7 linked regions of the Mus musculus genome follow. The protein of the gene in region 4 interacts with the protein of the main gene of each other region in a pairwise test. Links are inferred from orthologs where the notes say so. Each region holds a gene or a part of one and is shown on either strand. Other genes may lie near its edges.

Evidence for each region.
Region 1: the proteins of 5730409E04Rik (region 4) and Myrip interact in binary tests that used the Homo sapiens proteins (3 or more experiments, as listed by UniProt). The two-hybrid records come from large-scale screens. The link is inferred for Mus musculus from reciprocal best matches to the Homo sapiens genes C1orf216 and MYRIP.
Region 2: the proteins of 5730409E04Rik (region 4) and Ushbp1 interact in binary tests that used the Homo sapiens proteins (3 or more experiments, as listed by UniProt). The two-hybrid records come from large-scale screens. The link is inferred for Mus musculus from reciprocal best matches to the Homo sapiens genes C1orf216 and USHBP1.
Region 3: the proteins of 5730409E04Rik (region 4) and Nup62 interact in binary tests that used the Homo sapiens proteins (3 or more experiments, as listed by UniProt). The two-hybrid records come from large-scale screens. The link is inferred for Mus musculus from reciprocal best matches to the Homo sapiens genes C1orf216 and NUP62.
Region 5: the proteins of 5730409E04Rik (region 4) and Psmc6 interact in binary tests that used the Homo sapiens proteins (3 or more experiments, as listed by UniProt). The two-hybrid records come from large-scale screens. The link is inferred for Mus musculus from reciprocal best matches to the Homo sapiens genes C1orf216 and PSMC6.
Region 6: the proteins of 5730409E04Rik (region 4) and Amot interact in binary tests that used the Homo sapiens proteins (3 or more experiments, as listed by UniProt). The two-hybrid records come from large-scale screens. The link is inferred for Mus musculus from reciprocal best matches to the Homo sapiens genes C1orf216 and AMOT.
Region 7: the proteins of 5730409E04Rik (region 4) and Ccdc114 interact in binary tests that used the Homo sapiens proteins (3 or more experiments, as listed by UniProt). The two-hybrid records come from large-scale screens. The link is inferred for Mus musculus from reciprocal best matches to the Homo sapiens genes C1orf216 and ODAD1.

What each region holds. Positions count from the first base shown.
Region 1 is NC_000075.6:120,464,284-120,468,183, forward strand, and holds part of Myrip (rab effector MyRIP), read left to right. Parts: intron 1-410; coding exon 411-515; intron 516-617; coding exon 618-678; intron 679-3,162; coding exon 3,163-3,281; intron 3,282-3,900. UniProt on the Homo sapiens protein: Rab effector protein involved in melanosome transport. Serves as link between melanosome-bound RAB27A and the motor proteins MYO5A and MYO7A. May link RAB27A-containing vesicles to actin filaments. Functions as a protein kinase A-anchoring protein (AKAP).
Region 2 is NC_000074.6:71,392,861-71,397,509, forward strand, and holds the start of Ushbp1 (Usher syndrome type-1C protein-binding protein 1), read right to left. Parts: upstream 2,942-4,649; 5' UTR 2,854-2,941; intron 2,610-2,853; 5' UTR 2,534-2,609; coding exon 2,480-2,533; intron 2,312-2,479; coding exon 2,190-2,311; intron 1,951-2,189; coding exon 1,515-1,950; intron 1-1,514.
Region 3 is NC_000073.6:44,814,620-44,818,887, forward strand, and holds the start of Nup62 (nuclear pore glycoprotein p62), read left to right. Parts: upstream 1-1,468; 5' UTR 1,469-1,864; exon of another isoform or gene 1,865-2,039; intron 2,040-4,268. Other genes in the region: Atf5 (cyclic AMP-dependent transcription factor ATF-5), read right to left, coding at 370-547. UniProt on the Homo sapiens protein: Essential component of the nuclear pore complex. The N-terminal is probably involved in nucleocytoplasmic transport.
Region 4 is NC_000070.6:126,608,406-126,612,943, forward strand, and holds the start of 5730409E04Rik (UPF0500 protein C1orf216 homolog), read left to right. Parts: upstream 1-1,448; 5' UTR 1,449-1,607; intron 1,608-3,270; 5' UTR 3,271-3,275; coding exon 3,276-3,968; 3' UTR 3,969-4,538.
Region 5 is NC_000080.6:45,332,523-45,336,422, forward strand, and holds part of Psmc6 (26S proteasome regulatory subunit 10B), read left to right. Parts: intron 1-2,130; coding exon 2,131-2,198; intron 2,199-2,394; coding exon 2,395-2,509; intron 2,510-3,900. UniProt on the Homo sapiens protein: Component of the 26S proteasome, a multiprotein complex involved in the ATP-dependent degradation of ubiquitinated proteins.
Region 6 is NC_000086.7:145,473,956-145,477,855, forward strand, and holds part of Amot (angiomotin), read right to left. Parts: intron 2,385-3,900; coding exon 2,240-2,384; intron 1,858-2,239; coding exon 1,765-1,857; intron 1-1,764.
Region 7 is NC_000073.6:45,926,940-45,930,839, reverse strand, and holds part of Ccdc114 (coiled-coil domain-containing protein 114), read right to left. Parts: intron 2,317-3,900; coding exon 2,217-2,316; intron 2,050-2,216; exon of another isoform or gene 2,009-2,049; intron 1,774-2,008; coding exon 1,584-1,773; intron 1-1,583. UniProt on the Homo sapiens protein: Component of the outer dynein arm-docking complex (ODA-DC) that mediates outer dynein arms (ODA) binding onto the doublet microtubule. Involved in mediating assembly of both ODAs and their axonemal docking complex onto ciliary microtubules.

The sequences.
Region 1 (3,900 bases), on a different chromosome or scaffold from region 4:
CTTGTGCATACACTAATAGGTCTGTTGACATACTCTAGAACTGTAAAACTAGAAATTTAAATGTATGCATTTCCTCTGCTTTGTCTTTTCATTGTAGCGGTGGATAGACCAGTCACTGGTAGGATTTAAATGAATGAAAGAGCCAGGTGTTGAAGTGCACACCTGTAATCCCAGCACTTAGGAGGTGAAGGCAGGAGGGTCAGGAGTCCAAGGTCCTCCTCAGCTACATAGCAAGTTTCAGACCAGCCTGGTCTACATGAGACCCTGTCTCAAAAAGAAAAACAGAAATGAGTGAATGAATGAATAAGCAGACATAAAAGCAGATTCATTCATTCTTTATAGTTTGTAGCATTTTCAACCAGGATTCTTCCTTTCGGTATTTACTGACCTTTTCTTTCTGTTGCATGAAGATCTCGGACATCGAGAGCCGCATTTCAGCCCTGACCATCGCTGGCTTAAACATAGCACCGTGTGTGCGTCTCACACGAAGACGGGACCAGAAGCAAAGGAGCCAGGTGTGTCTGCCTTTCACGCCCCCAATAGAATATCACATGACCTGGAAGGTGCCAAATATCTAGGATCTGCAGAGCTGTACTGACAGCCGTGTTTCTCTGTAGGTACAAACTATAGACACGTCGAGGCAGCAGAGGAGGAAACTGCCTGCCCCTCCTGTGAAAGGTATGTTGCACTTAAAACAGCAAGCTGGGGTTGTTGGGAGAACCTGGGCCCTGAGTGTGTGAAAGTGTGAGGGCCGGATCCAGTGTGCCATCTCCCTAGGGACTGTGTTAATCCATCTTACTTGAGTGTGTGAGAAGGCGTGCATGAGGACGAGTGTAGAATGGATGTGTGTAGAATGGATTCTAATATTCTAGCTAGCCCGTATAAAATACATGATCTTGTTGTTTGATTAACATGCTGTAAGCCTAGATTGGGTAGGTCTTGAGCTATGCTAACTTACATCCCAGCCGTATATATCGCTTGCTACTTACTGCTTTCTCCTGGCCACATGCTCATGGACCCTTCTCATGGTTAGTTCTCTCTCTCTCTCTCTGTCTCTCTCTCTCTGTGTCTCTCTCTCTGTCTCTCTCTCTCTCTGTGTCTCTCTCTCTGTCTCTCTGTCTCTCTCTCTGTCTCTCTCTGTCTCTCTCTCTCTCTGTCTTTCTCTCTCTCTCTCTCTCTCCTTCTTCTCCCTCCTGTTCCCTACTTGAGACCTGTCACTCAACCCTCAACTCTCGCCTTTTTCTCTCTACTGACCAATCACAAGCTCTAGCCTTTTATTAACCAGTTAACTTTAAACTGGGGAGCAGGGTTTGTGTAGCATCACTCGGTGTATGTGAGGATCTTACTGACAAGGACAGCCAGATAGGTCTTGGGGGCCAGCATTTAGCATTTGGATACACAGCAGCACCAGACCAACCCCCAAAAGGTGTGAGAAGGTTGGTGTATGTCAGTGTGCCTGGGTGAGCAAGTGTATGTGTGAAAGTCTGGGAGTATGATGGTGTAAGTGTGTGCAGGTGAGTTATGTTAATGAGAGTAGTGTATGAAGGTAGTGTGGTGTGCATGTGTGAATGTGAGGCTGGTGTGAGTGTACATGTGAGGGTGTGAGGCTGGTGTGAGTGTGTATGTGAGGGTGTGGGGCTCAGTGTGCAACTGAGTGTGGGTATTATGTGAGTGTGAGATTAGATGTGAGTGATTGCCTGCATTGATGTGTCTGTGGCGGAATATATCAAGTGTATGATTTGTACATGTGTGTGTGTGTATGTGTTATGTGATTGTGTGTTGTGAAAGTATTATGGGATTTGGGGTTTTTTCATGTGTGAATCTGTTGAGTCCGACCAGCAGCTCACATGTCTGGGTTCAAGCCTGGAAGGCATCTTGGAATCTGGAAGAAAAGAGGGAACTAGGCGGCGCAAGAAAGGATGGAACCAAGACATTAGTCTGATCAAGGTTCAATTTTACTATTTGGAGACATGGGGTTATGAAGAAGGGGAAGGGGCCCATTCCCGCCAAATCATCCTTGGAGTCCAGTTGCAGGTGACCACGTGTTGGCTCTGGAACAGCTAGGCGGCAGGTAGTAGCAGAGGGAGTGGCAGAACGATAGGGTGGCAGACTCCACACACCCCCCCCATGATCTCCTGGTGATAACAGTCAAACCTGATCAGCCAGATTTCAGGCTGAGGGGGGGAGGTTACATGAATCTGTGAGGGTGAATTGTATGGGAGTTTGAGTGTGTAAGAGAATATGAGGTTTGAGTGTGTGGGGGATATGGGTGTGCATGTGAGCCTGAGAATGTTTGAGTATGTGCACTTGTGAGTAGATGCATTATGAATGTGTTTGAACATGTGTAAGGTGAATGAGTCCATGAATGTGAGACTGTATGCTTGTGTTTTGTAAATATGTATGAGTGTGAGTTTGTGAAGCTGTGTTTAACTGTTTATAGGTGAGTGTGTTTCAGTGTGTTGGCCACATGAGTGTGAAGATATGTGGGTGTGTATCTGGTGTGCGCATGTGGGGTGTGAGGTGTGTGTGTGTTTGTGTGTGTGTTTGAGTGTGGGCATGGACTTGGTGTGTAACAGCGTGTGCATGAGTGAGGGAATGTGCATAAGCATGAATATGTTCTTGTGTGTCAGTATATGTTCAAGTTTATGAGAGTGTGCATATATGTGTGTAGTGTGTTGATGTATGTGTCCATGTGTTTGAGTGTATGTATGAGTGTGAGGGTACATGCATGATTTGTATGAGATTGCATGTACACAGGTAGTATGCATGTGTGTCCATGTGTGTGAGAGTGTGTATGGAGCTAGACTGGTGGCCAATCACCCCAGCAGCCTCCTGGGTTACAAGCTGTTTTACATGGTACTGGGATCCCACCGCGAGCATGGCAAGTCTTCCTCCCTCCTGAGCCATCTCTCCAGATGTTCGTACGTGTCTCGCCTTGGGTCCCCCCTAGAAGCAAACCTTGGCTCACAGATGAGTGTGAGGTAGCTTATGAGGAGGTCCAGAACGTGCTGAGGGTAGGGGAGACAGGTCACATTGAGGAAAGCATACATGCCGGGTCGGCATGCTTTAATTATTGAACCTCTTCTTTGGAAAAATGAGGCCAAACCCTCCTGACTGAGCATCTTACTGGCACCTAGTTCTTATTCTTTGTTTCCTTTTTAGCTGAAAAAATCGAAGCATCTTCCGTGACCCCCATTAAGACATTCAACCGCAACTTCCTTCTCCAAGGCTCCTCCACAAACAGGCCCACAGCAAGTACCGGTGACACCAAGGACTTGATGGTAAGAATCTCTGTGCCCATTATGTTACATGATGGTCCAGTCCTCGCCCCCTGCACCCCACCCCCGCCCCTGTGACCCCATCCTGCAGGCTTTTCTTCCTTCCTTCTACCTCAGCAGAGCCCCAAGAGGCAACCTTCCTCTCTGGTCTCCTGACCTGCCTTAGACTTTGTAGGGTGTGTGCCACACTGTGTGGCATTGCTGACCTCTTTAGCCTTAGTCTGCCATCTCAGCTATATGTAGCACTTTTAGGAACCAGCTGTAATTGGAGAGAAAGGAAAGAGTGCCAGGTCTGGTGGATGTGTAAGGGTTTTTACTCTGGAATGATCCATCTGTGCTTGTAAGTTTCCGTTAGCCACGAATGCCTTTTCCTAAGCAGAGCAGCAGCTGCCCCTAAATGTGACAAGGGACCTGACAGAGGGTGATGTTCCAGACTCTGGGGATCATGGGGAGGGATAAGAGAGTGTTCACAACAAAAACAATTGTAGCACATCAGGTAGGTCATATTGTAATCTCGCCATAAAGGAGGCTAAGGCAGGAGGATTACTGCAAGTTGGGGGCCAGTCAGGGCTGCATGTGAGGTCCCATCGAGCCACACTTACATAGCAAGACACTGTCACCG
Region 2 (4,649 bases), on a different chromosome or scaffold from region 4:
ACAACTCTCCAGCCCTCTCCACTTTATTCCTTTCTAAATTTTTAGTCATTTATACCTCCCCAACTGAAGCCACCCCCCACTTCAGCCTCCCAAGTAGTTGAGATTTCAAGTGTGCCCACTACATTCAGGAGAATTCATTTTTGTTGTTGTGAGAAGTCTCTGAAAGCTGTGCTAAGCCACGCCCCTAGCCCCTCATTGGAGGATTCTAGGCTGTCACTCTACCCCCCCCAGTCACGCCCACAGCCCTGACTGGAGGATTCTGTATCCCTACTTGTCCTAGTTTTGTTTTGAGACATTTGCCTATCTCGTCAAAGCTAGTGTTAAACTGTGATCCTCTCATCTGAGCCTCTGAAGTCCTTATCATTACAGGCTTGTCCCACCATATCTGGGTTTAACATCACCCATAATCTGTAGGTTTCTGGTCACCTCCACTAAACGCCCCGGGCCACTTCACCCCTCCTCCACCTTCAGGATTATGGTCCACCGCCAGACTGTTCCGCTCACAGTCATCAGATGGCACAAGTGAACGCCTGCAGCAGGTCAGTTCCCCTCAGAATCCACCACACACCAGAGCACACTAGCTTTCAACACCCTGCATACTGTGGCCTTCCCCCACGCGCCTTCATCTCTCCCACTCTGTTCCAGCCACAGTGATCTCAGGATCTGTGGTGGTTCGTGTGAACTTGACATCAACTGGAATCATTTTGGAAGAGGGACCACAATTGAGAAAATGCTCCCCGAAATGGACCTGTGGACACTTTTCTGATTGACAATTGATGGGGAGGGAGGGGCCAGCCCATTGTGGGTGGTGCCATCCCTGGGCTGTTGGTCCTGGTTCTATAAGAAAGCAGGCTGAGCAAGCCATAGGGAGCAAGCCAGTAAGCAGCATCCCTCCATGCCTTGAGGTTCCTGCCCGAGCTTCCCTCAGTGATGGAGTGTGGCCTGAGAGTCTTAAGATGAAATAAATCTCTTCCTCCCCAGTTGCTTTTGGTTGAGGTGTTTTATTACAGCAATAGAAACCCTAAAATAAGTCTGGCATAGCTCACACCTTTAATCCCAGCACTGGGAAAGCAGAGGCAGGTGGATCTCTGTGATTTTGAGGCCACCCTAGTCTACCCTAGTAAGTTCAGGACAGCCAGGGCTCTGTTACACAGAGAAATTCTGTATCCGAAAAAACGAAAAATAAAAAACACCCCCCAAGACAGGATTAGTGTGTGTGTTTGTGTGTGTGTGTAGTGCAACTGACATAGGTAGGGTCTGTAATCCAGGCTAGCCTTGGACTCAGTCTACAGCTGAGAACAAAGTTGGTCTTAGCCAGGGCTCACCTGAGTGGAGACTGTCCCTCTTGGACTTCCTGAGTGTTAAGATCATGGGGTGCAGCCTGCCTGTCTTCCTTGCTCTCCCTCTCACTGTGCTGTCTCTGTTGGTCACTTCCTTGGCACATCTGTCACTGTTCCACATCAGTGTGTCTGCTCCCAAGGCTGGATCTGCCTCTTCCCCAGTCACCAGCTTACCTGTCTCTGCAGAGTCTCCTTCTCTGCCTGGGCGTCCTGCAGTGAAGCCTGAGTGCATGCCAGCTCATCCTCCCGGTTGCACAGGGCTAGCCGCAGCCAGGCGTTCCTCTCTATGAGGCGAGCAGCCTCCTGCTGTCCAGGTCCTGCGTCTTCTTTCTCATCACCAAAGGGCCCCGGAGCCCCCTGGTCTCTGTCTTCTGCTTCCACTGACTTTGGAAAGCTTAGCGAGTGGTGGCGCAAGGCAGCTACAACTGCCTCAAGGGAGCTCAGCCTGCACTGCAAGGTCTCATACACACTGGGTACTGATATCTCAGCAGGGCCACTATCCAGGGGGGCTTCTTGCAGGACCTGGTGGGCTTCCACCTCAGGCTCGCACTGTTCTTCTGGGCTCAAGGATAGAACCGCATGGGATCCCACATCACAACCCTCCTTGATCCTGTGAAGATAGTGGGGGAACCCCAGCCACCTGAGGCTCAGAAGAGACCTGGAGGGCTAACCCTAGGGTCGCTAGGAAGGTAGAGTAGGGAATGAGCGGCATGGCTGGAGGATAAACAGGAAGAGGAGAGAGGCAGGCAGCAGAGGCAATGGGCAGGTGAGTGGCAGGAGGCAGCTTTGTGCAGGGGGGGTGTTGGGGTGTTGGGCTAGAATATAGGGTACATACTAAATGCATCCTACCAGTTCCTTGGGCTCTGAAGGCCAGGACCAAGGTATTCCTGATGCAGCTCAGGTTTAGTCTCGAAGCGTCCATTGTTGGCATCTACTTCCTCTGAGCTCTCAGCTACAGGGTCTAGCTCCCCCTGTGAATGAACCCCGTTTCCCCCCAACACACACACACAGTCTCTTGGCCATCATATCCAGCTCCACCTGTGGAGGACTCCCCTACACCACCACGGGCTCTGAGCCTAGCAGGCCTGGGTTCCCAGGATCCATGGGACTGAGTGTGGCAGGAAGAGGGGCACACTTACAGGCAGAGGATGCCTCCCTCGACGGCTTCGGGGCCGTGTGGCCCGGGCACTCATTGCCTCTGTCACTACAGTCTGCTTTCAGTTCTTGCCTTCGTCACCTTAGAATCCTTGTTTTTTGTTTTTTTGTTTCCTGTAGGATTTTTGGGGTGTCTACTCCGATTGACACATTTAAATATTCATATACCTCTCCAATAGTGCCCACTAACTATCTACTTGTTCCTTACTCCCCCATCCCCCATCTCTACTGGGCATTCTTCTCCCCTCAGCTGTCTGAAGGCGTTTCTCTTATCTGTGCCCCACCCCCCATAGAAGCATTGGGTAGGGACCCTAAAATCCTCTTTCTTCCTACGGCTCTTAGCATCAAACTCCCTCACCCTGGGGGTTGACCCTGCTGCGCTCTTCTCTGCTTCTCCAGAGCACCTTGGGAAAGGCCTGAGATCCAGGGCATATCTCAAGCCATTCTGGCCACTGGCTACTGAGGCTGCGATAGCCAAAAGTGGCCCGGGAGGGGCTGGGAAACAGGAAGCCCCCCTACCCTGATCACATGGACAGTTATTGTTTCGTTTCCTTCTCCAGGATGCCGGCTTCCTCCAGAACGGGAGGAGGATGGAGGACCAGGACCTTTGTCCCGCTCTAAAGATATCAGTATCCCCTTACCCGAGGCCAAACCTTCCATTTTCATTTTGGATTTTTTGTGTCCCCTGTTCACCAGGACTCGCTCTAATGTGAAGGTCTTTGTGTGTGTGTGTGTGTGTGTGTGTGTGTGTGTGTGTGTGTGTGTGTGTTTCTAAAACCAAAAAAAAACCAAAACTGTAGGAGTTGGCTTCAGCATTTGCACAGCTTTTATTTTTCATTACTTTGCTTTACTCATCTTTGTCTGTGGTGGTCCTACTTGTCTCCGAGATCGAACTCAGGCCCCTCAGGATTGGTGGCAAGAGCCTGCACCTGCTCAGTAGCCCACAACGTTTCTCTTCAATGAGTCTGAACTGCTGCATCAGGCGGTTGGAGGCACTGGCAACAATAAGCTTGTCCACAGTGTGTCTGCTGCCTTCTTTACTTTTTCTTTACATTTTAGTTTTTATACAGCGTCTCATTTAGCCCAGCCTGGTCTAAACGCCCGATCTTCGTCTCCGGGTCTCTGGAGTGTTGGGATGACAGGTGTGCACCACCAGTCCTCATCAAGGTACTAGTGAATGAATGCCAACCTAAGTTACATAAGTAACTGAGAAGGCCTTTGGCAAGTCCAAGCCAAGTCCTACCCCGTCAATCATCAAACGGCCCCGCCCAGCTCAGGCTTCTGTCCTATTTCAGCAGAAGCCTTGAGAACCATAGCGTGATTAAACCGGAACTACAAATTACGCCCAATTTTGCTTCTATCCACCACAGATCACACCCACTCCCAGTATTACCCATCTTCAGCCCCATTCCAGCCACTCCAAGCCACACCCCCAGAACGCCTCAGCCTATCAGCTTCCATGTCCCGAGGGCCACTGAACTACATTTCCCAGAAGGTGTCTCGGCAGCGCCGCACAAACTTCCGGCCAGGAAGATGGCGGCTTCCTAGAGTCCTGATTGACTGGCCGCGGTGCCCAGGCTACAGAGTGGAACCTGCGGCACTGTGAACGCGCGTGAGCTTTGTGTCGCCGTGGTCTAACTTCGACCCGGATTGCTGTAGCTCCAGGTTCGTTCTTCTTGAGGACTTAGGGGTGGGGGATTCGAGGTCCCGAGATGCCACCCCTAAAACCGCGCATCCATCGCAGGGTCACTTGGGCTTCCTGTGTTTCCCTAGGGACCGGACCGGCGCCGCCTCAGGGGAAAAGTAGTTTTGGGAAACTTCAACTGTATCTTTTCGGCTCCACAAACCAAGTCTCCCAGGTGTGGGAGCCACTGGAGGCCTTAATGGGTCGAATACCCAGTGACCAGGCAACTGGGGTGTTCGTCCTGTGTAAACAGCGGAAAGCTAAGGATGAACAGCAGTTCAGTTGGAACAGTGCTTGTGGCTCAGTTGGTAAAGAGTTTGCCTAGCTTGCATGAGGCCCTGGGTATCCGTCCCTAGCACCACCTAAACTATGTGCGGCGGTGTACTCCGGCACTTGGAAGGTGAATACAGAAGTACCCGGCCATTATAAGCCGTATAGTTTTAGAGTTAGAGTGCAGCCTGGGCCACATG
Region 3 (4,268 bases), on a different chromosome or scaffold from region 4:
AGTCTGGGACAACCATCTGTTACATAGTCAAAAGAGACTGTGCCCCAGGATCTCTGAGATGGAGCCCCCTTCCACCTTATCATGGCTCCTTCTCCCCATCCCTCAGCCCTCAGTTCAGATGTCATCTACTTAGAGGGGCTGACTTCTCAACTATGTCTTTCATCACTGTCCACTAAGCTTTGGTCTCCCACTTCTGTCTCCTGATGCACCCATGAGCTTAGGGATCCCTTGCTCGGAACCCTGCAGACCTAGAACAGTGTTGGGCACACTGCAGGCCCTCAGTACTGATCTTGTGAAGGAATAAATTCTTCCTTTTCTGTCCACCCCCACCCCCAGCTCAACCCACCTCTCTTCTTAACCTGTTCTTACCTGCCAGGGGCTCTCCCCCCCCTGGAAGCCCGCCCTCCAGGGCACCCCCAAGGACCTCATAGGGGCCCAGGGGGGCAGGGGCCAGGGGGAGTTTCCCATAGTCTACGAGCCAGCCCAGCCCGCTAGCTGGGAGCAGGGCCCTGTCCAGCTCCAGTCCCAGGGTCGCCAGGAGTGACATGGCTGTGACACAGGCACAGGGCAGCGACGGCAATGGAGGCTGCACCAACAATTGGGAGGCAGCGTGGAAGATTGTTCAGCTGGGTGAAGACAGGCACCAAGGCGAAGGTGGAGGACCTGTGAGGACAAGGGGACGTGGGTGGGATTGAGTCAAAGCGGCTTGACCCACAGGCTACACAGTTTCCTTCTTTCCGAAAATTTCAGCGCTCCACACATTCCCAGGGACATTATTGGAAACTCCCCTGCCCCATCTCCTCCCTCAACACAGAAACCTAGTGTTTTCCCAGGGGAATTACCTCTAGTCCCTCCTACCCACCTCATCTTATTCCTCTTCATAAAAATTTCAATCCCAAGGGAATTTCCTTCTAGCCGTGCCCCTTCCGCATCATTAGACTATACCCCCTTTAATCCACAGGGGTTCCCAGAATAATTCTGCATGCCTGGGCCCTTCATCAGTGTCACACACACAGATCCCGCTCTTCCCTTAAAAATTTTGGTGACTTCTAAAGATTCTACGGGAAGCTCCGCCCACCCTTCTGTCTGTCACAGTCAGTTCCCGTCCCCCACTAGCAAGTCCCTAGAGGCCCCGCCCCTGTAGTGCTAGTGCTAACTCTTTCTTAAAGGTGTTCCTAAAGCCTTTCCTGTCAGTTTAAGCCAGTCCCCGCCCCAGCAGGTGTCTGATTGGAGGGAAGTTGGGCCTGAGTCGGAGCCTCAAGCAAAACCCCACCCTTCCTCGCTGCTGGCTCGACTAGCGACGAGGCGCAAGCTCAGTCCCAGGACCCGATCCATTGTTACGCCACTACCCTCCTGGGGGACCAGTGCGCGTGTTTAGCCAATGACCGGCCGCCCGCCGTAGTTCAGGCCGGGGGTGGAGGGGTGGGGGGGTGGGGGAATAAGACAATGCGCATGCGCAACAGGTTGTGGGGTTGTCTCCTTGGAGGAAAAGGGGCAGAGGGTCTGTGAATTAGCGCGCAGGCGCAACGGCGCGCGAGCCGACCTTAAAAGCCCCCAAATTCTCCGGAAGCACGCCCTCCTCCTCCCCGCCCCTCGCAACTCGAGCCTAGTGCGCTTGCTCAGCGGATGCGCCGGCCGCCAGCTTCCCTCTTCTGCGCCTGCGCGACCGTGGTTCCTCACTTCGTCTCCCCCGCCCCCACCACGAGGCTGACCCGTGAAGCCCCGCGAGCTCTGAAAGGGCGGGAAAGGCAGTTGGCGAGGGAGGGGCGAGCGGTTACTCACTCCATGGCGGCGAAAAGGCGAGGAGGCAACGGCGGCGGCGGCCTCGGCTGAAGAGACGGTGTGAGCGGAGAGTGAAGGCGCGGTGAGCGCGGAGACGGGGGCGGGGGACACGACGGGGTCGCGGCTACAGAGCCATTGCGCGGGCGGAGGCGGCGTGGCGGGAGCGTTAAGGGAGACTGTGCTGAGAGGGTTGAAAATGAGGCGGCCCCGGGGCCTGGGGACAAATATACCGGGGGCGGCGCAGCGCGGGCTTGCCTGGATCCCTCCGCGCCCCGCCCTCGCGCGGCCCCGACGGGGCGGTGGCGACCCCGGGCCCGCCATGTCGCCCTGACCCTCCACTCTCTGCTTCAGGCTGGGGGCCCGGGCTCGGTCTCCTGAATCGGTCAGATCCGATGTGTCTTTCACACCCGAAACCAGCTCGTCTCGTTCTCTCTCCCTGCTTCACGAATTTGCCACCCGAGACCTCGTGGGTTAAGCCCATCGCCGAATGGCGCAAGCTAGCTTAGGCTTCATAGAGGAGTTCCAGGCAGCAACCGCGAGATAACGCTTCCCAAGTACTTGTAGAGCGCTGTATACGCGCACAGATATATCAGCTATGGAAAGTAGGCCACGAAGTCCTAACCACGAGACTCTTCAACATATTTTTGTTTGTTTTGTTTTAACATTTATTGTGGTGGTCAGAGGAGAGCTAGCAGGAGTTGGTTCTCTGACCATGTGAGTCCCAGGGACGGAACTCGGGTCAAACTATTTGGCAGCCTTTACCCACTGCTCAGTCATTGTATTTTCTTTTAGAAAAAAACCCTGACTTCACCTCTTTTACTCTCCCTACCCCAGATTCTTAGCCATATGATCGTTCTGTGTGTCCCACCTCCAAGGTTTCTGTTTCCAGCCATCCCTGCCGACCTCTAAGGTTTTGCCCTTGCTCTGACTTTCTTGCAGTCCTTGCTCTCTTGCTGACCCCACTAGATAATTATTTCTTGATCCTGTCCAAAATAGGACATTTATATTCCATTTAGTAAAAGAGTCCCTCTTGTCCTTCACCGGGGATGATGCGTGAACCCTGTTTTCTACCCCATGTTCATGTACATGGCTGGCATTCCATGTGAAAGTCAGTCAGTGTGTCATATTTGTAGCAGCTGAGAGACTGAATGGTTGGAGATAGAGCTCAAGAATGCTCGTCTGTTTTTAACACCAGAACCTTAGTCTCTGTCCAAGCACCACATGGATTGGGCTTGACTTGCCTGTATTCTCAGGATTTGGGAGATGGGAGAAAAGAAATCATGAGTTCAGGGTCATACTGACTGGCCTCAATGTGTTTTAAAAAGAAAAAGTCCAGAGGCCAGGCTTGATATCTCACCTACTTAGGAGGCTAAGACAGGAGTATTGAAAGTCAAGGTCAGGGCTGGAGCTGCTTTGAGATGGCTCTGGTGGTGATCTCTAAACTCAACCCTCCTGAGTTCCATCCTCAGGACCCACTTGGTAGAAGGACAAAAGCAACTCTAGACGGTTGTCCTCTGACCTCCACCACCTGTAGTGACAGGTCTACATACTGAGTAAGGGGAGGAAAAAAGCTCAAGGCTTGCCTTGACTAGAAAGTGAGTTCTTGGCTGTCTAGAGAACTTAACAAAGATCCTGATTTTAAAAAAATATGTAATGGGCTGGGGTTGGAGGTTGGTGGCAGAGTGTTGGCCAGAATACTGCTTTCCAGACTCTGGTGTCCATCCCTGGTACTGTAAAAGATTCAGAGCAGGTGGGGAATACTGATTTTGAAAGTTACAAGTCCTTGAGATAATTCCCCTTGGAATGGGCACTCTTTTTTTTTTTTTAGATTTTATTTATGTAAGTACACAGGTTCTCTTCAGACACACCAGAAGAGGGCATCAGATTCCATTGCAGATGGTTGTGAGCCACCATGTGGTTGCTCTGGAAAAGCAGTCAGTGCTCTGTAACACTGAGCCATCAGAGTGTGAATTCTTATCTTCTGCCAGTGTTTGAGCACAGGCGTGATTTGATGTGTTTAGACTCCAGCCCTCCCTTGCCAGCTATGGGCTTTGTTAAGTCCATGTGGAGTCTGCTACGAATACAGAAATGGGATGGACCCAGAGCTTCATGAACTGCATGCTAAATGGACATTCTACCACCTGAGCTGCATCCCTGGGCCCCACAGGTGCTGGTTTTTATTTGAAACATTGTGCCATGTTGCTGTGCCGGTGGTGCTCCTTTCCTTGAGTTTGGTATTTTAAAGTAAACTTTTGGAATAATCGAAAGGTTTCAAAGACAGTGCAGAGTGGGGGTACCAGCCCATAGTCTTCCCCATGGTACTTCTTTTTTCTTTCCTGAGGTCCTACCCAGATGCTTCCCCCGCCCTCAGATCCACCTTAACTCAAGAGCTGGTTTTCACATTTAGCTGCCATGCCCTCCCCAGCATGTGCACAGCCGTCACTTTATGGGAGTTGTGATCATCCCTGGAGGCCTGCCACCCTGAG
Region 4 (4,538 bases):
TGAACCAATGAGTTGACCGGGGTTGCTTAAGGGTTGGGGCTCACTCACAGTGCCATCGCTAGCTCAACGGCAGCTAGGTCAAAGGCACCTGAGTCCAGCTGGGTGGCCACTCAGAAAATCTGCATCCCTGGAGCTCCCAACACAACTAGCAGGCAGTGTCACTGAAGAGTCTCTGTTGTCCCAGCAACCCCTTACATCACCCACTACCTTGAAGAGGGCCTTCTAGAATCTTCCGAATCTCACGTCTGCCCCCCTCTTCAGTTTACAGCAAACAGCTACACAGTAGCAGTGAATGATCAGAATCCAGGGGTACCTCATTGTGTTAGTGTATTAATTCAAGAATCTTTTGATTATCAGTGAGATAAATTCCACTCAGGTTGGGTATGGCAAGATATGAACTTCATGGGAAGGCATCAAAACTAGAAACCCAGGAAGCAGAAGCTGGGATGTTAGTCAGCCATTTGTCTTTGAGCTCCTGTGTGTCAGTATCATTTTTTCTCCTAGTACATAGACTTGGCTTCTTCCACTTGACAGGAAATATGATTGCTGCAGCCATAGTTTGAACTGTGACTTACCTGGAATGGGGCTCCTTCTTAGTTATATACACAGAGAGAGAAATGGGGGGGGGGGAGGAGAGGGAGAAACACATATACATAAATAAAAAATAAAATCTTAAAGAAAGCTGGCTGGTGGTGATGGGACATGCCTTTAATCCCAGCACTTGGGAGGCAGAAGCAGGCAGATCTCCCTGTGCAACTGGAAACCAGCCTGGTCTACATAGTGCTTTCCAGGGTAGCCAGGGCTACATAATGAGTCTCTGTTTCAAAACAACAAACAATAAAATCCTCATAGCATTTAATCAAATAGGTACAGTACAGTGAAGGGGTCTTTTTAAAAAACAGATCTAGGGGCTGGTGAGATGGCTCAGTGGGTAAGAGCACCCGACTGCTCTTCCGAAGGTCCAAAGTTCAAATCCCAGCAACCACATGGTGGCTCACAACCACCCGTAATGAGATCTGATGTCCTCTTCTGGAGTGTCTGAAGACAGCTACAGTGTACTTACATATAATAAATAAATAATAAGTAAAAAACAGATCTAGAAGCCAGAAAGGTGCTCAAAGATCCTAAAATAGAGTAAGTGGGGATGAACTGAAAATTCTCGGCAGAAAAGGTGCCGAGCTGGAGCACAGAAAGGACCACAGCGGGTCCAGACCCGCACCACGGCCTCGCCAATTGCCGAGCCCCTGGGAAACCCAGGAAGGAGGCATTTCGTCGCCATGTCTGCAGCAAGGAGAACCAATGGATCCGTGGCGCCTCGCCAGGGTGGTTAGGAGATGACACCGGACCTACAAGGCTCTCGGGTCAAGCTGCGGGAGGAGGCAGTTCCTGCGCGGAGAACCGAACCGGCCCACGTGGGTCAGACCGCTCCGCCCAGCCGCGCAGACGCTGCTGGACTCCGCAGCCCGGGCTGGGGCTAGGGCCGCTGTGCCTGGACCAAGCAGCCGCGTCACCACGCGTGCACGCGCAGGTCCAGGAATCCCCCACCCTGCAGCGAGCAGGACCCGAGGGACCGTAGCAAGCCCCGCAGGAGCGGGCGCCTCTAGGCCGTGAGTCCGGGCCCTGATGGAGGGCTTGGGGCCCAGCCGCCGGAAAGCGGGTTAGGGAGCTGCCTCTGCAGAGATTAGGGTCGCAGAGCTCGGACCACTGCCAAGTCCGCCAATCCCCGTGCTACAGCCGCTCCCATGCCCCCATACTGTGGGTTAACTTGGGAAAATCCTGATCTTAGGATGTCTGCACTCATTTCACTGACTTTTTGAACCTGGATCCTTAGCCCCGCCCCACCCCAGCTTCCTTTGTGGCCAGATTTAGGACAAATTTTAAGAGAGGGAGAGGGAAAGAGAGTTGGAGGGGTGGGGTGGTGGTGGTGGTGGTGGTGGTGGTGGTGGTGGTGGTGGTGGTGGTGGTGGTGGTGGTGTCTTCAGGCCTTTTCTCACAAGCCAAAGGAGTGAAACATCTGTCCCAACCTCAGTCTCTCTTCATGACTTCTGCCCATTGCTGGGTGTGGGGAGGGTCGCTGCCACCCTATAGGGGAACCTTCTTAGTAGCTGCTTGATTGACTTAATAGTATGTCTCACTCACGAGGCCTCAGTTCTTCAAGTCATACAAATGTGGTCAGTAGCCGGGCATGGTGGCGCACGCCTTTGATCCCAGCACTCGGAAGGCAGAAGCAGGTGGATTTCTGAGTTTTCCAGACAGGGTTTCTCTGTGTAGCTCTTGCTATCCTGGAACTCGCTCTGTAGACCAGGGTGGTCTCAATCTCATGAGATCCGCCTGCCTCTGCCTCCCAAGCGCTGAGATTAAAGGCGTGCGCCGCCACCACTTAGCTTTTGTTCCTATTTCATAACTGTAATTTTGCTACTGTTATGAGACATCATGGAAATGTTTGTGGTTTTCTGTGGACTTATGAAATATACCTGTCTATATCTATACATCTGTATAGATGTAGACATATGTTCCTTTTACAAGTATTATTTGTTATTTAACAGGACATCTTTTTTAAAAAAAAATATTAGCATATCTGTGTGTGTGCATGTGTATGTATGCATGCATGCATGTGGGTGAACAGAGAGGCTGGGGGGTGGGGGCTGGTGTGAAGCCAGCGATGCCTACAGTTGTAAACCATCTGACTTGGGAACATGGGTCCTCTGGAAGAGCAACCAGTGCTCTTAACTGCTGAGCCATATCTCCAGCTCCTAAATTTATATTTTTAATTGAACGAGGGTCAGTGGAAAGGCTGTGGCAATCACCCAGGTCAAAATGACCAGGGCCAAAGGAGAGTTTGTCAAAATGTGGACAGTGAGGTGGGCATGGGAGGAGGGTCAGTAATCCAGGGTGCTCCTAGGCATGGCTAGATAGACTTGTCTTCAGATGGCAGAGCTGTCCTGCCCAAGGACCCTGGAAGGAGAGCTGTCAGGATGTGTAGATCTGAAGAACTGGTGGTAGGTCATAGGGTTGAGTAGGGGTTGAATCTGGGCTGGACACAGATCTGAGAGTCACCTACACAGGATGGTTCTTGAAGCTATAACAGGATGAAGTGACCTTGGGAGAAGTTTGTAGAGTGAAGAGATGGTGAGCCTTAGAGGGAAAACCCTGGGAGGGAGACAGACCAAATAATCAGAGAGAAGGGAGGGACACCATTGCAAGGTTCTTGGGCTCTAGGTTGCCATTCTATCCTGTCCTGCTCTGTCTCATTCTCCTTCTCCTTCCCAGTCCAGATGTTCGCTGCCATCCAGCCAGGACTAGCAGAGGGGGCCCAGTACCCAGGGAGCCTGCCTCCTGGAGTATGCCAACCAGACCTCCAACCAGACAATAACTCCAACTTTGTGGAGAGTGCTAAGGATGCCAATAAGAACTGGCATGGTGTGCCAGGCAAAGTGGATCCTATTCTGATAAGGAGCTCCTCTGAGTCACCCTCTGATAACCAGGTCTTCCAAGCCACCAGGCTCCCTGAGGCCGGAGTCCGCAGTCCCCCGGAGGGTGCGGAGATCCCTGGTGCTGAGCCAGAGAAGTTGAGCGGTGCCAGCAGTGTCTGCTCTCCTCTGGAGGACATTGGCTATGCCAGCAGTTCCTTGAGCATCGACAGCTTCAGCAGCAGTCCAGAACCTGTCTGCGATACCCCTCGAGGTCCGAGCCCTCTGGATCCCCTTCTGCCCTCCGTGGCCCAGGCCGTGCAGCAGCTGCAGGCTCAGGAGCGCTACAAAGAACAGGAGAAGGAGAAACACCACGCGCATTTGGTGATGTATCGGCGCTTGGCGCTGCTCCAGTGGATCCGGGCTCTGCAGCACCAGTTGGTCGACCAGCAGGCCCGACTGCAAGAGAGCTTTGACACCATCCTGGACAACCGGAAGGAGCTTATCCGCTGTCTGCAACAGAGGGAAGCACCTTGCAGGCACCAGGACCAGGGCTAAGGGTGTGCACAAGTGTGTGTGCACAAGTGTGTGTGTGCACAAGTGTGTGCATTTGCAGGCTTTTGAGTGGTTATACACAAGGAAGGATGTGAGTATTAGCTGGCATGTATGCAAGTAAGCATAAGTGAATATCTATATGCTAACATGTAAGCAGGTATGTAAGGCATGTGTGTTTATGTATGCATGTGTGGCTAGGTACCCAGGAATGTGTATATATATTCCTGAATGTAGAGACAAAAGATATATATGCATGTGTATCAGTTTATATGTACAGGCTTGTGTTGGGTGTGTGTTGAGACTTACACGTTCCAGTGCTGGCATAAGAAACATGTGCTAGGAATGTGTGTGTTTGCAGAGACTTAAGGGCAGGTGTGTGTAAATGTATGTTCAATTGCACCTGCAGGGCGTCCACCCATCTCCTGTGTTCCCAAAGTCTACCCCAGCCTTATATTCTACTGAGTCTCACCTCCCAGCTTCCTAGAGATAGAAGCCTCTCCCACTGTCATAGATCTGAGGGCTGTGGCCTGTTCTCCTGTTCTGAGGGCTGTGGCTGACCTGTTCTCCTGCAGT
Region 5 (3,900 bases), on a different chromosome or scaffold from region 4:
GTTCAGGTTTTAAAACGTTGATATAACATGACTCTAGAATAATATTTAACATTGAGGCTAAAGCTAATCTTAGGATTTCAGCATATAACTAGATAGTTTTGTAATCGAATACTACAAGCCTAGGAGCTGGTGAGTGGCTCAGCTGTTGAGAGCACGGGAGCTCTTCCAGAGGAACTGGGTTTGATTCTCAGCACTCAACAAGGGCTCACAATCATCTATACCTCTATTTCCAAGGGCTCTGGTGTCCTCTTCTCGTCTCTACAGCCACCTGCATGGTAACACAGCATATATGCAGACAAAACACCCATATACATAAAAATGAAGATTTAGAAAGTATTATAGGCCCAGGTTTGGGGATGTAGCACAGTAGCAAAATACATGGCAAGCACATGAGACACCTGGTGAACCCTACTAATGAAAATGGAGTTTTGTTATGTCTTAGTTAGCTTTTGCATTCCTTTCAAGGCCCTCTGGATGCCAAAAATTGGCATTTCTAAGATACTGTTTTGAAAGAGTTTCTTTTGAACTCACTCTGTAGACCAGACTGGCCTCAAACTCAGAAATCCACCTGCCTCTGCCTCCCAAGTGCTGGGATTAAAGGTGTGCGCCACCACTGCCCGGCTATAAAGGTCTTTTTATTTAGTGTTTTGCCTATTTTTACGCGCGCGCGTGTGTGTGTGTGTGTGTGTGTGTGTGTGTGTATTATATATGTGGTACATGCATGTGATTGTGTAATGCACCTATAGGAAGGCCAGAGCAGGACATCATTCTCTGTGTTACTGCTTTGAGACAGGGTCTCATAGAACTGGAGGAAGTGTGTGTGTGTGTGTGTGTGTGTGTGTGTGTGTGTATTATATATGTGGTACATGCATGTGATTGTGTAATGCACCTATAGGAAGGCCAGAGCAGGACATCATTCTCTGTGTTACTGCTTTGAGACAGGGTCTCATAGAACTGGAGGAAGTCTTGGCTAGGCTAGCTGGCCAGTGATCTTGGGATCTGCCTATCCCCACCTACCAATGTTGGACTAATAGGTACCAGTTGGCTTTTTATAGACGTGAGAGAGAAGAGCTTAAGTCCTCCCTCTTGAAAACAGCCCTGAGCAATTTCCTTACCCCTTACTTCATTTTGAACTGACTAAGGTAACACCATCCTTTCCCAGTGTTAATTTTGTGCCTGCCCAGTCACTTCTCAGCCTTCCACCAATAGCCACATCGCTTTGATGATGCTTCTAGGACTGTCCATCATTTTGACCATGGTCCAGATGTCTTATATAGTATCTGGAAGATACTGGTGGGTTGAAAAGGAAGCAAATGTTGTTATTACTAACTTTCTAGATCATTTCTAGTTTAGTGAGCACAATTCAATCTAAATTTATAGCTCATTGTAGAGTCCTGTACAAAGTTGTTAAAATTCTAAAAATACGATGGTAAACAGTTTTGAAACTATTGGAACATAACTTTTTATTTCTGACAAGTGAGATCTTCAGTATATATTCAGTGCATCTATAGAATAGAGTATCCGATTGTAACCAAGAAGTCAACATGCTTAACTATGTAGTAATTATCCAACCTGATGTGTTCACTATGAGGAGTGTTGTGTACAAGGGCACAGGAGTGAGTTTTGGTTTTTTTGTTCGTTTGCATTCCTTAGTATGGTTTTTGTTTTTGAGGATAAGGTTTCTTTGTGTAGCCCTGGATATCCTGGAATTCCCATTGTAGATCCTGCTGGTCTTAAACTCAGAGATCTGTCTGGTTCTGCCTCCCAAGTGCTAGATTAAAGGCGTGCAGTAGCACCACAGGCTTGCATTCCTTAGTATGTTAATAGAAATCTTCTAAAGGAAACCTGTTTCCTTTCCTCTTAGGGTTATGTATATAAATTTTTTCTTCTAGAAGATGTTCAAAAGACATTTTATAGATACACTTGCAAACCATTTTCCTTTCTTTTTCCCCAAAATATTCACTAAGGGATTTTTTTTTTAAGTTCTATTGACAGGGAGTTTATAATGTGATATTTGTGTCTCTTATGTAGTATTGAAATATATATATGGTTTCTGAATATTAAGCTCTTGTTAAAGTAGCATTTCCCCTTTTAAATGTTTGTGTAACATCTTTTGTTTTATGAAACCAGCTTGACAAAAGTAAGCTGAAGCCAGGAACCAGAGTTGCTTTGGATATGACCACACTAACCATCATGAGGTGGGTTTCTCATTGTTTACTTCCCATTTTCTTAGAGGGGAGGTTTTCTAAAGTACAGGATTTGTGGAATCATTGAAGATTTTACTACCCCTTACCTATTAAGTTCAAGGTCTTTAGAAGGTGCTTGCATAATCCACAAGCTAAGACGAAATCCCTTGAGAGAAAAGTTTCTGATTTTTTTTTTTTTTCATCCTAGATATCTGCCAAGAGAGGTGGATCCATTGGTTTATAACATGTCTCACGAGGATCCTGGAAATGTATCTTATTCTGAGATTGGAGGCCTGTCAGAACAGATTCGGGAGTTAAGAGAGGTGGGTGTTGTGTTCTCTGATCTCAGACTATTGCCCTATTGCTTTTAGGATGTCTGAAGGGAGAAATGGTGTAAAATTACATTTTGGGTTGTTGTTGTTTGGTTGGTTTTTCTTGTTTTGTTTCATTTCATTTTGTTTTTGGCTCAATAGTAGCTTCTGCTTATTATACATTTGTAACTCTGCTGAGAATAGCAATGAATTTGTAACTGTAAAGATTACTGCTGCTTGCTATTTTGGAGTGTTGGTAAAGTCACCTTTTTGTGTCCAAAAAAGAATATAGGGCAAAGTGAAGAAATATTGGTATCTAATACCTTTGCCATTTACATTTCCAATTGTCTTCAGTGTGCTTAGGTCAACTAGTTGCACACTGGGCAACATGCTGTGTGGTTTTCCTAAAGCTAGTGATGTTGAACCCAGTACAATAAAAACTGTGTTACCTTGGCCCCCAAATATTTTTATCTTTTTTCAAACTATTTGTTGCTCTTTAGAATACTGGCTACAGAAGTTTATAAGCTTTCAAGTGATGAATTAGATTAGGATCGCCGTGTCTCATAACCTGGGAAGTTACACTGTCTTACTGATTTATGTTTCCCGAGGCCAGCCTAAGTATTTAGGAATGAATGAGAAGAGTTGGGAGTAGTTCTTGAATGTGTAGTTCATGGTGGTTCATAATTCTTAGACCTCAGCTCATTACACATTTTGAAACCATTATTAAAGTATAAACTGCTTGGGCTGTTAAGATGGCTTAGTCAGTAAAAGTGCTTGCCACACAAGGCTAGATAACCTGGGTTTGATCCCTGGGACCCAGGTGAAGGAGGGCAGAAGAACCGACTCCATAAAGTTGTCTTCTCTTGCCCACAAGTGTGCTGTGCCATACACTTCCTCCTCATCATGCACAAGTGCATTAGCACATGCATGTGGACACAGACACACATAGGGACACAGACATATATTTGTACACAGAATAATAATAAATATTTTAAAAAATTAAAGGAAACTGGTCTGAGTAGTTTGAAGATTGGGGTAGGGAACAGGCATTCCAGGTGATTATGAAACCAGATTTTTCTTGGCAATATATAAAGAAGCACTGGCCTGACTATGAAATCAAAGTATATACTGAGTTCAGGATAGTGAGGGGGTAAGAGAAGGAAAAGGAAATGTCTTCATGAAACTTGCCTCCCTCCCACAGTGCTTGGCTGCATCCCATCTGCCAAGGAGTAGGAGACACACACACACTTACACACACTTTTTATCCTCAGATATTTTGGAATGTTGGTGGTTTTGGTTTCTTCACACTTAGTTTATACTAATCATGCTTCATGGCATCAGAAACATTCAGTAACATCACACAGATGGTATTTCAAGTAGTTGGTGCTATAAATAAATTGGAT
Region 6 (3,900 bases), on a different chromosome or scaffold from region 4:
CACAGACTCCTATCTGAAGAGATGTGCCTTGAAAAGAAATGGACATTTGCTGAACACTCTCTACCTATCAGGCATTGTGCTTGCTTAATCCTCAGAACAAGGATCTGGGGTGTTATTCTCCCCTTCTCTATTTTGCATACGAGGAAACAGGACTTGGAGCTCGAGCATGACTAACACGCCAGAGCTCCTGGAAAATGAGGGGTGGATTCCATACTGGAGCTAAAGTTTTCTAGTGTACCCAATCACCTACTGGCTTGAACTGCTTCTATCTTTCTGGGGTTGCTGGAGTATATTCCCAGAGAAGGTTTTTCAAAAGAGCCTTCTTTCTTCCTTCTACACTTCCCATCTCTGAGGACCCTTTGTATGCCCAAGGGCACAAGAAATAAATGGGTCAAAAAGACATGCTCTCTTCTCCACCTAGTTTTAGAACCACTGACAGTATTTCACCCTGTTGTTAATGTAATTTTGCTTAGTAGCTAAGTGAATTTCATGAACCCACAGCAGAGCTCTGAGAGCACCTGAAATACCATTTCTTCACACAGAGGAGTATAAGCTAGAAGATCCAGGGCAAGAATCCATATGTTTTGTTTTATTCTGGGAGGCCACCACTGTCTTCCTGCCACTGAACTAGCTTCCAGGGTAACAGTGACACCACAAAAGCAACTTCACAATTTACCCTGGGTTCTGATGACACCAGAAAAACAACATTCCTTACCCTTAAGGCTACTGACAAAGGAACAGGAGGCTCGGGCCAAGAGGAAGAAAAACTGTTCCGAAGCCAGAGCACAACAGAGCAATCCAGGCAGGGAAGGGAATATTGTAAATGAAGATCAAACAGACTTGTAAAAGCTAACTGGAAACTGCACAGAATGACATGAAAGGGTCATTGGGAGACCCAGCAAAAATAGAACAGACTGACAAGTCCCCACCAAGAAGGACTTCAGTGGGAGTTGCACTGAGGGAGGCTGGGGTAGGGGGGCAGCCAAGCTTAAGCATCTGTAGGAACAAGGACAGTTCATCTGTTCTCAACCCAATTCATGCTCCCAGTGGGCTCCAACCACTATGAAGTTTTTATTGCTGCTGTTATTAAAGCAATTGGAAAGAATTAGGCATTGTCTAGCTGGGTGGAGTCCATTAGGGACTCGATAAAGAAGAGGATTAATTCATTGTTACAGTCCTAGGAGTATTTCCAGACAAAGGAAGCACTATTATAAGGAAGGCTCAGCTCTGCCCAGCCCCATACCCTCCAACTCCGTAATCAGAACCATGAGTCCAGGTCATACCAAGGCCCTTCCTTTTCTGGTCTTTCTACAATCTGCCAGTGGGTAATAATATGACACAGCAATAAGTGTTTAGTAGGTGAACCCGTGGCATAGGCTGGGGATTTCAAACATTAATCATTGTTCTTTATGTTCATCCCATCTCCCAGAGCCTACAATCCCTTCAACATTATTGAGGACAGTATTCCCTAAGGTCTTTTCTTCAGCTAGCCTTGACAATGGCAGGAACTCTAATGGATTTTCTCTGACTTAGTATGGAGAACACTCCTTCAATGTGACTAGAGTTGAGGCAGAAGCCTTCGTGGCCTTTCATGCACTAACAGGAAAAAGATAAGACTCATTCTCTCCTGGATGTTCTAGAAGGCTAAAGAAAAGAGTCAGGCAACATTTTCATAAACTTTACCTCCAACCAGACCTGCCACATTTCCACACCTGTTACTACCATGCATGCATTCACGCCTGCATCTGGAGATTGCAGACTTACGTTTGGCAAAGAGCTGCGAGATGGTCTTCCTGGTGTCCTCGGACCCCTCGTACTCCTTCTCTGCCAGCTGCTTGTTGGCAGTCTCTAGACGGTCTGTGGAAGGTGAAGACGGTTAACACACATGCTATCTGCCTTCTAAATACAGGCCTTTGGCAAAAGTCATCACTGGGATTTTGGTTTTTTTGGGTTTGTTTTGTTTTGTTTTTGACAAACAGGGTGGGTGGCATAGTCCCAAATTTTCAAATGTAAATCTTAAAATAATACAAGAGCTACTCTAAAGCAAGAATCAGATGTCGTGGCACATGCTTTTTTATCCTCACTGCCTGGGAGGGGAAAGCAGGGGAATTGTGGAATATGAGGCTAGCATGGACTATGTTGTAAATCCTAGGCCTGCCTGAACTATGTAAAGAGACCTTGTCCCCCAAACAAACAAGCAAACAAAATAACTAGAAAGTGAAGTGCACTTGCCGCTCACCTCTCAGATCTCTGTTGAAGTCATGCATCCTTCTAATCTCGCCCTCCAGCTTGTTCCTCATGGCTTTCTCCAGAGCCTCTCTTTTGGAAGATGACTTCACCAAGTTCTCATAAGCCTCTGAGACCCGTTGGATTTCTGTCTCCACCTTAACATAAAAAAAGGAAAGAAAGATGATATTGATACTAGGAGTCGGATGGAAATGACAGTTTAGAACCACACATGTGACTCTTCAGTTGCATCTCCTTTCAGATAGACTGTAAGCTCAGTCAATGACTCAAATGCTTCATGGGATTTCCTTAGGACAAAAGCAAAGTCTCTCTTTCTCCATAAAATGGACTTTATACCTGATTTTAATTTCTAAATTATTTTCTGAGTGTAATTTCTACATTATTTCTTGATTTTGAAAATATTAACATTGTATATTATATAGCAATAACTTTATTTTGAAGCCCTCAAAGGACTTCTCTCTATGTGGTTCTCTCATTTTGTCCTGACATCTGCCTAGGCAATGTTAACTTGTCCCAGTTTAGCATAAGAGAGTAGTTAAATTACTTATCTCAAGTACAGATCAGCAGCACACATGAGCCCTAAAATCCCAAATCGTCAGCCTCCTGCAGTATAATTCAATTCACTTTCACAACTATTTAATCAAGGGTCAAAGAGTTAGGAAGGTCTGATTAACCAGAGTGAGAACATGCACATTATCCTTGCCTTCAAGGAACTTTCAGTATAATCAAGTCAGAGAATAGAGGGCAAACTACAGCTTTAAAAAAAACAAGGCATAATGATATAAAGCTAAAAGAAGGAGCAAAGATCCCTGGGTGGGGGAGGGGAGGAAAATAATGTCAGGGAGAGATGGCATTTAGAGTCGGATCCTGAAAGCTGGATTGGATTTCAATGGGCAGAGGTGAGTAGAAGGGTATTCTATTCTGAGTAAGCAAATGCATTCCCAGAATGACCAGGAGTCTAATCTGGCTGGACACTGTGTGGTAGCCACAGGGAAGCTAGAGGGATATGGCTGTGAAGATGGACTGAAGGCAGGTCATAAAATGGTTTTAAATGTCAGGCATTTGGACTTTAGCCCATACTCACCAGAGTCAGTGGGAAACTAGTACAGATTTCTAACTGAAAGTCAGGATTTGTGTTATTTTATGACACCTCTCTGCAAATCTTATAAAATGAGAAGAAGAAGAAAAAAAGAAAAGAAAAAAAAAGAACCAGACAAAGACTCTTGTCCAGAATTAGACAGAAACAGGAAGAAAACAAGAAATTAGACTCCAGAGCCTTGCGACCAGTACAGCATGTGTAAGAACCGCAGACCTTATTTGCATATAATTTGTATAAGACAAATAAACCCCATGGCCTATTAAGCAATTTTGAAATTAAGTCTGACTCCTCCAACCGCTCTGCATTGCTTCTCAGTTTTCCACTCTTCCTGAACAAAGCTCAGGGTGCTTTAGGGGGTGAAATACACAGGCGCCCCAATTGAAGGTGGGGGAGGGGAGGGAGGATTTCTATCACCTCCAATTCCAGCTGCCCCCATCTTTAAAATCCTGCTGGAGGCAGGACTGCCTGCAAACAAATGAGGCTTATGCCACTGAAAAGAGCAGACGTGAAAGTGTTTTTCTCCTTGCAGATGGTACCAAGATAACAGCACAGAA
Region 7 (3,900 bases), on a different chromosome or scaffold from region 4:
AAAGAATGTCAGCAGCCGCCCAGGCAGTGGTGGCACATGCCTTTAATCCCCGCACTTGGGAGGCAGAGGCAGGCGGATTTCTGCATTCAAGGCCAGCCTGGTCTACAGAGTGAGTTCCAGGACAGCCAGGGTTATACAGAGAAACCCTGTCTCAAAAAAAACAAAAAAACAAAAACCAACAACAACAAAAGACAAACAAACAAAAGAATGTCAGCAAGTATAACAATCAGTCAAGCTGCAAATCAAGGCTTTGAGTTCTCAGAGCTGCCTCTCATCATGGCTTTGACTTCTTGAGGATTCTCTCACAATAAAACCAAAACAAAACAAAAATCAAACAAACAAAACCAACAGGGGCTGGAGAGATGGCTCAGCAGTTAAGAGCACTGACTGTTCTTCTAGAGGTCCTGAATTCAATTTCCTGCAATCACATGGTGGCTCACAACCGTCTGTAATGGGAACCAATGCTCTCTTCAAAAAATAGAGAACCGGCTGGGCAAGGTGGCACACGCCTTTAATCCCAGCACTTGGGAGGCAGAGACAGGCGGATTTCTGGGTTTGAGGACAGCATGGTCTACAGAGTGAGTTCCAGGACAGCCAGGGCTACACAGAGAAACCCTGTCTCAGAAAAAAACAAAAATGAAACACCAAAGGGTTGGAGAGATGGCTCAGTGATTAAGAGCATTGGCTGCTCTTCTAGAGGACCCGAGTTCAATTCCCAGTACCCACGTGGTGACTCACAACTGTCTGTAACTCAAGTCCCAGTGGATCTGACTCTCTTACACAGACATGAAGGGAAAACACCAGTGTACATAAAGATTAAAAAAAAATTTTTTTAAAGGGCTAGAGAGATGGCTCAGACATTAAGAGCACTGGGAGCTCTTCCAGAGGTCCTGAGTTCAATTCCAAGCAACCACATTATAGATGGGTCTAACCATCTATAATGAGATCTGGTGCCCTCTTCTGGCATGCAGGCATACATGCAGGCAGAACATTGTATACATAACAAAAATTTAAAAACCAAAACCAAACAAACAAAAAAACTTTAAAAATAAAACAACAACAAAAACCTTACTTAGAAATTAAGAGCTCCAAGACAAAGGAAGTTTAGGTACCACTAGTTCAAAAATGCCTCCCAGGGTCCCGCATGGTAGCCCACGCCTTTACTTGGAAGGCAGAGTCAGATCTCTATGAGTTTAGTATAGCTTGGTCTATACACCTAGTTACAAGACACCATAATAAGACCTTGTTTCAAAAAAGCAAAGCAAAACAAACAAACAAAACATTCTTCTCCGGTGGCTAAAAGTATTCAAATAGGTCCACAGTCCAGCTAAAATTTAGTGTGAATTTGGGAATAGTTTCTTTTGCTTGGCACATTGCAGGAATGGGAGGTGGGATTCGCAGCCTGTAGCCTTGAACTTACAGCAACCCCCCTGCCTCAGTTTTTCAGGATGTTGGCTTTACAGTTAACACACCATCCCTGGCTCTGGGTGGAGCTCTGGGCTCCATTTTTCAGATAAGATCGCCAAGACTTAGAACAGTTACTACAAGGTCTGATAGGATGGCGGCCAACTCGGAGAACCCACCTGCTTGTCCAGGGCCCGGTTCTGCTCTTGCAGCGCCTCGATTTCCACCTGCACCTGGGCCCGAGACTTGAGAAGACATTCCATTTCCGCCAAATGCTTCTTGTCTCCCAGTCGCTTGACCTGGCTCTGCGCTACGTTAATCTGCGTCTGGAGCTTGGCTCGAAGCATCTCCAGCTGCCGAATCTCCTCGCTGTCCAACCGGGAGGAGCAGGTGGTCCGCACCAGCAAGTGGCAGCACTCAACCAGTTCCAGCCGGCGCCCCTCACTGAGCCCCGACACCCCACCTCCCCACCCCCACCTCCCACCCCCCACCCCCCACCCCGCCCCAGACCCTGTTTTTCCCAATCCCGTCTCTTCTCTACCCCAGCACTGGACTCTCCAGAGATCCTGCAACTCTCAGGCCCTGCACCTCCTCCTGTTCCTACCTTTTATCCTGTCCCTTTCATGAACCACTCCCCTGTCCCGGCTCCTTCCCCACCCCTGTACTTCCCCTCCCCTCCTCCCCTCCTCCCCTCCTCCCCTCCTCCCCTCCTCCCGTCCTCCCCTCCTCCCCTCCTCCCCTCCTCCCCTCCTCCCCTCCTCCCCTCCTCCCAGGGCTCAGAAGTCCCTTTTCTGTTCTTTTCCCCAGCTTACACTTGCTTCCTGAGGCGCTGATGAACTTCCTTGCTGTATGCCCGCCTTTCCAACTCCATCATCTTGCACTGCCGTTGCAGGCGGCTGAGCTCCCCATCCACTGTGGATGAGACCAGGCAAAGGACTCAAAGGGATCAGGACTGTCAGATCTCCCCAGAGGGTCCCTTTAGGATCTCAAAAACTACAACTGTACCCCAGTCCCAGCCCTGGCATCCTATGGAACCTCATCTCAGTCCCTGTGTTCCCAGTAGTCAAACTGACCCATTCCCATCCCAGCTGTTCTGGCTTAAGGATGCCCCCTGGTCTAAAACACCTGGGACTAGAGAAAGAGGCTCCCTCCTAGCTTTCTGTTGGACTGCAGTGGCCTCTCTCCTACTATCCTCTGGGCTTCACCCAGCCTCCCACTCATCTCCCTACAAAATCCTCAAGGACTTCCTACACCCAGAATGGTCCCTTCCTTCCTCTTAGATGCCTCAGTCTAAGGCCAGAAGAGCCTGCCATACCCATCTGTCTTAGTTAGGGTTTCCATTGCTGTGAAGAGACACCATGACCAAGGCAACTCTTAAAAAGGACATCATTTTATTGGGGCTGGCACACAGGTTCAGTACATTATCATCATACCAAGAAGCATGGCAGCATCCAGGCAGGCATGGTGCTGGAGGAGCTGAGAGCTCTACATCTTGTTCCAAAGGCAAACAGGAAAAGACTGACTCCCAGGCAGCTAGGAGGAGGGTCTCAAAATCCACCCCCACAGTGACACAAGTCCTCCAACAAGGCTATACCTACTCCAAGAAGGCCACGCCTCCTAATAGTGCCACTCTCTGGGCCAAGCATATTCAAACCACCACATTCTACTCTCTGACTCCCCTAGGCTTGTTCAAACACATGATTCTATGGGGACCACACCTAGACACAGCATGACACTAAAACATTTAGTCCAACTAGAAATGTCCCCATAGTCTATAACAGTCTCAACAATGTTAAAAGCCTGAAGTTCAAAGTCTCGTCTGATGTGCATCCAATCACTTAACTGCAATCCCAAAGCAAGATCAAAAGCCAGCTGGGCAAACTCCAAACTCTACATCTCTATGTCAAAGTGTTCTTCAGATCTCCAACTCTTCTCTGCTTTGTTGACTGCAACAAACTTCTTTCTCCTGGGCTGGTTCCACTCCCTGTTAGCAGCTTTCTTCAGAAGGTATTCCCTGGCATTTCAAACATCTTGGGGTCTCCAAGGCAACTTCAACTTTGCAGCTTCTTGTTCCAATGTCTGGGATCCCCACATGATCTTCTGGGCTCCTCCAAAGGGCTTGGATCACATCTCCAGCTCTGCTCTCTGTAGCACTCTAGGCTCTGGTTGACTCCACTCCATTGCTGCTGCTGTGCTTGGTGATCATCCCATGGTGCTGACATCTCCAATACACTGGAGTCTTCTGCTGTAACTAGGCTTCACCAACAGCCTCTCATAGGCTCTCTTTATGGTGCCAAGCCTCAAATTCTTTGCATGACCCTTTCAGTCCTGGTCAGTCAACCGCATCTGAGGTTGCACCTTCACCAATGGCCTTCCAAGGTCTCTCACAGTGCCAAACTGCAGCTGCTCTTCATGACCCCTTCATGCCTTCAAAACTAGTACCACCTGGGTGACTCTTACACATTACCAAGTCTAGCTACCAGCACAAGGTACAAC